2 linked regions of the Sus scrofa genome follow. The protein of the gene in region 2 purifies or fractionates together with the protein of the main gene of each other region. This does not show direct contact. Links are inferred from orthologs where the notes say so. Each region holds a gene or a part of one and is shown on either strand. Other genes may lie near its edges.

The links.
Region 1: the proteins of CLP1 (region 2) and TSEN15 purify together in Homo sapiens (affinity purification with mass spectrometry; 4 studies listed by BioGRID and IntAct, counting the BioPlex papers as one, with this or other methods). This does not show direct contact. The link is inferred for Sus scrofa from reciprocal best matches to the Homo sapiens genes CLP1 and TSEN15.

Annotation. Positions count from the first base shown.
Region 1 is NC_010451.4:125,335,195-125,338,626, reverse strand, and holds the end of TSEN15 (tRNA-splicing endonuclease subunit Sen15), read right to left. Parts: intron 2,825-3,432; coding exon 2,683-2,824; intron 2,156-2,682; coding exon 2,135-2,155; coding exon of another isoform or gene 2,062-2,134; 3' UTR 775-2,061; downstream 1-774. UniProt on the Homo sapiens protein: Non-catalytic subunit of the tRNA-splicing endonuclease complex, a complex responsible for identification and cleavage of the splice sites in pre-tRNA. It cleaves pre-tRNA at the 5' and 3' splice sites to release the intron.
Region 2 is NC_010444.4:13,282,382-13,286,674, forward strand, and holds the start of CLP1 (polyribonucleotide 5'-hydroxyl-kinase Clp1), read right to left. Parts: upstream 2,828-4,293; 5' UTR 2,681-2,827; intron 2,511-2,680; exon of another isoform or gene 2,441-2,510; intron 1,963-2,440; exon of another isoform or gene 1,943-1,962; 5' UTR 1,921-1,942; coding exon 1,315-1,920; intron 912-1,314; coding exon 240-911; 3' UTR 1-239. UniProt on the Homo sapiens protein: Polynucleotide kinase that can phosphorylate the 5'-hydroxyl groups of double-stranded RNA (dsRNA), single-stranded RNA (ssRNA), double-stranded DNA (dsDNA) and double-stranded DNA:RNA hybrids. dsRNA is phosphorylated more efficiently than dsDNA, and the RNA component of a DNA:RNA hybrid is phosphorylated more efficiently than the DNA component.

The sequences.
Region 1 (3,432 bases), on a different chromosome or scaffold from region 2:
CAGACGATTTTTCTAAGGACTGTAACGAAAAGCCTCAAAAGGAATCAAATGGCAAAGATGCTAAGAATTGGTCATAAATTATTATAGGATCCTTATATTTGCAATTTATCCAGTGGGGACACAGAAACACATATGGTTCTGACTTGGTGCAACTTTAAGCTTTCTAGGGAATGAGAGGGAGTCTGAAGGAGTTGCCAAGACCCTCCATCACAAAGAAAAGTGAAATTCAAATATCAAAGGAAAGGGGTCAGGAGATACTACAGACCAAGAATAATGCTTTATACCATTTTTTGATTTGCCTACTTTTGGCCACGTTTCTGTTCTTGTTATTATTGTTTTCTAGAGTAATTATTAGCCATGACTTGCTGCTAACCAACAGAATATGGTAAAGGTGAAAGGATGCACATGATTACATTACACACAATGATGAGGTCCGTCTTATTGAGGCTCTCTCCCTCCTGGCACTGAGCTGACAGCCGTTGTGCTGGCGAGGCCTAAACGGCAAAAAAGGGGTGGTTTCTTGACAACAGCCCACTAAACGAGGCTCTCAGCCCAAGGGCCCACAGAGAACAGAAAGCTGCTATCCACACGAGTGAGGAAGCAGACCTTTCCCCACGGAAGCCTCAGGTGAGACTATAGCCCTGGCCAACACCTTGGCTGCAGCCTTACAAAGGACCCACCTTTGAGATATAAAATGTGTGCTATTGTAAGCTGCTAAGTTTGTATTAACATTAGTAGGCAACAATAGGTAACTAACATAGACCTCAGGATACCTTTTTAATTTTAAAACATTTTTATTATAAAAGTAATACAAATAAAGAAAAACTGAGATATTCAAGAAAAACAAAGTCATCCATTTACTGCCCTGCCATCCTATTATAACCACAGTTCCTTTATTTTGTCATCTTTTTATTATATACTTGGTGTATTATGTACAGTCAGGATCATACCCATTCATTCGTTTTTTATCTTGGAGTTTTTTTTTTAAATAAGTATTTTCTCATGTTTTTTTTACTATACTCATTACTAATTTTTAATGGGTATATAACGTAACATTCATTCGCTATATATTCTTATTGACTATTTCCCCAGACCAGGGGTTGACAAACTATGGCCCTGCATTTGCAAATAAAATTTTACTGGAATACCCATATCCATGCATTTACATACTGTCTGTGGTTATTTCTGTTCTACAAAGAGCAGAGTTGAGAAGAGTTAAGAAGTTGTGAGAAAGCCTATATGGCCTGAAAAAACTTTCTGGTCCTTTCCAGAAAAAGTTTGCTGACCCTTGACTTAAACTTTTAAGTGGTTTATAATTTAGGCTATCATACACCCAAAAATGTCACTTGAAACATCTTGGTGCCTATAAGTTTTTCAACTTTAGGCAACTTAATTGGGAGGTATTAACAAGAGTGGAATAACTGGGTCTACTTGAGCAAGATATTTTCAAGGTTGACACTGCCCCCACTCCCTCTCTTAGTTACGATATAGTAAGGGTGGTGGTTATAAGAATGAAAAAAAGGCCCAATACTCTTGTAGGTAGCACTTCTCTGGTCCCATTAATCTGGATATGTAATTGTACACACTGGATGAGCATATAATTAGTTTTGATTCAAAGTCAACCACAGAGGGAAGTAACAATAATTGCAACATTAAAACCAACTGAAAGAAAATGTTTACTTCCTAATGGGGGTGAAAAAGCAGACTCAAGTAAATTCTCTAGGTGTCAAGGTGTATATAAATGTCATTCCAAGCTAGTGTAGTGGCCAAAAGGCACTGAAAGAGTTGAGTGGAGAGAAGAGATGCCAGTCTCAACAGTGAGCTAGCAGAGGCAGCAATAACAGAAGAAACCCATGTGCTCCATCCTTCTGAAAATAACTTGGGCATGAACGTGTATACAACTATAATTAACCTGTCTCCAGGCAAGAAAGGTTTACAGCATCTACTCTATATTATTAAACAAAATAAATTCTTCTATCTGGGAAAGTTTTATTCTTCAAAAAAAAAAAAAACTTCTGACTGAGATGGGACCAGCTAAGTCAACCCTGACTAACTCTGAGATTAAAGGTGAACCAGGCTGATGGGTCTCAATCCAATCTTGTACGAATAAAGCAAGCACTGGGAGGTAGAGGTGTCATCTTCTAAGGGAAATATTCTGCAACATAAAAAAAAAAAAAAAAAAAAAAAAAAAAAAAAGATCAGAATGGACCTTTTCCCCAACAGATAAAGTAATTTCAAAGCAAAACTAGAAAAATATTTGATGTGATTATCTCAATTTTGCCAACAATGTATGTAAAAAAACATACAAAATACATTTATTTATTCAAATGTTCCTGTCAAAATGTCAACCAATTTAACATTTCCTAAAGAAGCGTTCTTTCAGTTAAAACTATTATAAACCTTCACATTCCACCCCAATTATATTCATCAAATAATTAAATGTAGCATGACCTCACAAAGTATTCTGGAAAACTGTAACATTTTCTGTAGAATAAGGAAATAAAATTATTTTTGTGAAAACAGCTAGGACACATTACTTTCTGAGGTATGAAAAATCACTTTTTCTTGAATTTTCATATTGTAAAAGAAGTGACAGTTCTTGAAGAGCTTGATTCACACTTAAAAGCATGTCATCAGCTTCCTCTTTTTTCACTGTTTACTGACAGTTGTCTCAAAACTGACCTGAGGATCTGGCAGCATAAATCCATCAGTAAGTTTGTAATAAACTATGGTGGAATCAGACTCCACTATGGCCAGAGTAAAAGACATTGGCAAATCTGGATCACCTTGCAATTTTCGAGATGCCTTCAAGATCTCCCTTATCCTGAAAATAAAGTCACAATACACTTAGGATTCATGCTAACTCAATTAATAATAAGGTCAAAGGCTGTAAAATCTTAAGGAGGTAGGCAATAACATTACATCCATAATGCTGACCCAGGAAACGTCTGAAGGCTCAAATATAAACATTTAAAGTTGTCTTCTCAGAGTTCCTGTTGTGGCTCAATGGGTTAAGAATCCAACTGGTATCCATGAGGATGTGGGTTTGATCCCTGGCCTAGCTCAGGTGGGTTAAGGATCCCGCGCTGTCATGAGCTGCAGTGTAGGTCGTAGATGCGGCTTGGACCTGGTGTTGCTGTGGCTGTAGTGCAGGCTGCCAGCTACAGCTCCAATTCAACCCCTAGGCCAGGAACTTCCACATGCCACTGGTGGGGCCCTAAGAAAATAAAAAATAAAAAATAAAAAAGTTATCTTCTCATACATAAAGAATCCTCAAAATACGGGCTATATCTACTAACTTCCAGCTCTTCTCTTACGTATTTACCCATCCTTCCTGATCAGCATAACTGAGAGAATCAAAATTGTACTTAGAAACTTACAGAATAGGACACTAACAGCGTTCAGTGTATCTAAATTAGACAAAAATCTTGG
Region 2 (4,293 bases):
TCAAAGTGACACCTTAGGTAATCTAAGAAACCAATTATATTCTTACAGTTTTCCTTTTGGTTCAAGATCAAAAGGGTTAGGTTATTATCACCTGTTTTAAGAGGTAGAATATATGCTTTCTGCTAGTCCATGACTTACTGGTCAGCCTGGTCTCAAGAGATTCCCACACTTCACCCATCTGCCTTTGTGATGGCCAGGAGATCTCTACGCCCCCAAGCAGCAAAGCTTCCTGCTGATCTCTACTTAAGATCCATGAACCGGATATCCATGATGAGAAGGAAGTTCTTAGGCAGGGGGCGGGGGGCTGGGGAGAGCACAGTAAACACTTGATGCTCCAGGTCCACACTGGTCACCACAATGAAGCCAGCCACACTGGTCTCAGAAAGGTTCTCCTCTGTGCCCTCGGCAGTGCTAACACTCAGGAGGTGGTGCACCATATCTCGGCCAGGAGTGACAGGGACCAGCTTGAGCTGATTGTCCTCCTGAGACATGCCCAAGGGCAAACAGGAGTCTGGGATGGTGGGTGCCCCGACTTTGTAGATTTTCACATCTGAAAATTTGACGTTAAAGGCGTGGGGATAGAAACAGCCCCGGAATCCGTAGAAATACTCACGGATTCGTTCATCCCTACATTCCCGCCGGAAGTCCTTGGAGCGCTCAACCACACCCCCTGATTTAGGGAGCAGCACAGTGCGTACGAAGTGAGGCAGGTCTCGTTTCAGCTCATTGTACAGTCGTTCTTGATCCAGGACCACAACGACATCCACCTCAAAAGCTGAGGCCGCATGCACCAGGGCCTGGTAACCAGAGCCCTTGACCCAGCCACAGGTGTTAATGACACAGCCACTCACAGAGGCCCTTCTGTTCACTTCACATCTTTGGTTGAACACATCTGCTAAGCGAGATGTAATCTGCAAAAGAAAGAAGCAAAGTGAGGAAAAAAAAACACCAAAAGAAACAAACCCAAGGCTATTTTATCTTTCTTTAGAACAAGTGGTATCAGGTATAAGAAAAATGACATTTTTCATGGCTGTGGTTTTGACCCCGTAACATGGATTTAATTTTTATTTTGCGTTGCTTCTTCTGTCTCCTCTGTTTCATGTCCGAAATGGAAATTTAATAAATTACTTAAGAATGGGTCCGCAGAAACGTTTAACAGTTTGAGATGGACTTATTTTCAAATTGTCTTTCCTAAAATCATGGAGCAATATACCAGCCGAGAGGGAGCAAAGAGTTTTAATTAGCAAACTTCTGCACAGTTTTCAACCCTGACAGCAGCCCTTCCCTCCACCCCACCTTGGCCCTGGCTCTGACCTTATTATAAAGCTTGATGTTGGTTCCAGGAGTGGTGGAACCAAAATGATACACCAAAGGAGCCTGGATGGAGAATCCCTCTTCAACATCTGCTGGCCGTTCAATGTAGAGGGCCCCCATGGTACCAGGGATGGACACAGAGCCCTGGCCTACATCCAGCTCCACGTAAGTGGGACGGCGGCCCAAGCGCACTGCATAGTTGAGCAGTAGACGGCACACTGTGGACTTGCCCACATCAGTGGGGCCCACTACCATCACCCGGGGACCTCGCTCTTCTTCCTTCTCTGCCTGCCTCCGCATCTGCTCCAAGGCAGTGTGAGTGTTGAGATAAAGCAACATAGGGGTGTCTTTGGAGACATAAGCCACCTCGGTGCGACCACTGAGCTGTAGCGAACAGCCATGCCAAGTGAAAACAGCCACCTTGGCACCAGCATCAAAGGTGAATTTCTTGTTTCGGGTCAGCTCTGTGCCAAAGATTTCTGCCATGCCAGCCAGCAGCTCCAGCTGAACTGACTGAGATGCCTCCACCTCAAAGCGAAGTTCTGTTTCTCGCTCGAGTTCAAATTTAGTTGTTGGCTTCTTGTCATCATTGGCCTCCTCTCCCATCTTTTCTGCGTAGTTGTTGTGCCTAGAACACAAATGTCAGATCTAAACATAAGTTAGGACTCAGTTCAAAATCCTTCACTGGCAGTTTCTCTTTACCCTGCTTTATTTTTCTCCTTATCTCTGATCACCATCCGCTTCACTATATATTTGTTTATTGTCTGTCTACCCTCACAAGAATGTAAGGGTTGGAACTCTAGTACCTAGGATGGGGCTAGACAACCCAAAGGCACCTCTATAAATACACCGAGGGAATAAATGACTCAGAAATAAAAAGAAAGCAGTCTCTACAGATTGACAGACTTGATTTCATCGCCTTCATCGCCCCCTTCACCACTCAACTGGGATATTCCAGAGTTGAAAAGGCAACAGATGGCCACTCCCTAAGCCTCTTAGTCAACAAGAAAGGCGTTAGTAATTCGATGTAAAGCAGAGAATATCGGTTTCCGGTTTCCGACTTAGAAAACAGAATTAAGGCCCTGCTCAGCAACTACTAGGTAGTGTCTTTAGAGAAATCAATCACCTCTTCCTCAGTTGTCAACTGGAGGCACTTCCCCTTCCACACACAAAGTTCTGGGGATTAACAGGGATTGCTGGAGGAGAAAAAAAGTTCGTGAACTAGAAAACGCCGAGGAAAAGCGAAGAATTATCTCTGATCCCAGACCGCAGCTCTAAATCCAGCGTTTGTCCTAGCCTCCCTAGACAGTGAAACCTGTCCACGCTCCAAGGAGGCGACGGTGCGTTCCTAAGCTTATTACCTTACCTGTACAGGCACGAACCCAACCTTGTAAATCAAAAAGCCCTCCTAGGCAGAAACTCAGACCAACTGCTAACCGCGCTCGCCTAGATCCACGCCGGAAACTTGGGCGTTTCCTTACTTGCGCAGTAGAGGAGATGTGGACGCGCGGTGCTCCCTGGGACATGTAGTCGTGCCAGAACCGCTGCGAGCGACCACCTGGCGCAGTCGCTGGGCCTTCTGGGACTTGTAGTTAAAGGATTGTTTTGATCGTGATGTCAGCGGTGGGCGGGGCGGCGGCCGCCGAAGTTCGCGTTTCCACGGGAGGGAAGGGGGTGGAGTGGCGGTTACGCCCCCGCGCGGGGCGGGGACTGGCGGAAGGGTCAATGGACACCAAAGCGCAGAGGATGCGGATGCTCACCGCTGTTCTCCGCTCAACTGCCCTCCGGGAAGGGGAAAGACGGAGGGAAGGGGACATTATTTAGGTCCCATGGTCGCCTGGAAGCGGGGAAATTAGGGAAACTCCATTTGGATACGAGAAAACCTAGGGGTAGAGAAAGTGGAGGAAAACAGCATAAACAGAGACCAACCCGGACCTGAACCGTCACCAATTAACTGATACAGTGCTTGGCCCCTAGGGGTCATTAAAAAAATGTTTTTTGAATAAAAGTGCAAGAATTCTTCCACTTACTCTGTAAGTCAGTCATTTCCCAACAACCTCTCATTTATTTTTGGCCCCACCCGTGGTGTGTGGAAATTTCTGGGCCAGGAATCAAATCCGCGGCACAGCAGTGACCAAAGCCGCTGCAGTGACAATGCCAGATCCTTAACCTGCTGCATTACAAGAAAATACCCACTCCTCTTATTGATCAAGGTGTTTTGTTGGGAACTCTGTTTCCCTCCCTAAATCCCTGGCAGTTATACAAGGTCAGTCATTTATCCAACAAACAACAGGTTGGGCAATGTCTGTACTCTTCTGATGAGCTTGGACTTGGAATCTTGTATTCTTTGCTATGCCGCTTGCTTACTGTGGGACTTTGGGCAAATCACGGGCTTAAACTTTCTAACACCTAGTTTCTTAATTGTAAAATATGGATAAAAACAATACCCAGCCAAAATTGTTTTATTTATCTTTTTGTCCTTTTAGGGCCGTACCAGTGGCATATGGAGGTTCCCAGGCTAGGGGTCTAATCAGAGCTACAGCTGCTGGCCTATACCACAGCCACAGCAACGCCAGATCCAAGCTGCGTCTGCCACCTACACCACAGCTCACGGCTGCGCTGCATCCTTAACCCACTAGGCAAGACCAGGGATCGAACCTACGACCTCACGATTCTTAGTCGGATTCATTTCCTCTGCATCAGGAGGGGAATTCCTTAGCTCTTAAGTTTTTATTAGAGGTTGAGGAGGGGGAGCTACAAAGATGCCATCCATTTGTAGTTTACATTTCACAAAACCCTTTCAGCTATCCTCTTTCACAGCCACCTGTCAAGTCAGCTCTACTCAATTTCAGGTGAGGGAGGAGACTAAGATAGATGAAGGGACTTGCCCAAGCTAGTTCTCAAACCCAAGACTTTGGAGTTTGAGTCCACTTATAATAATAGTGAACGCACAGTGCTAGATGTCACATAGTGTTCTGT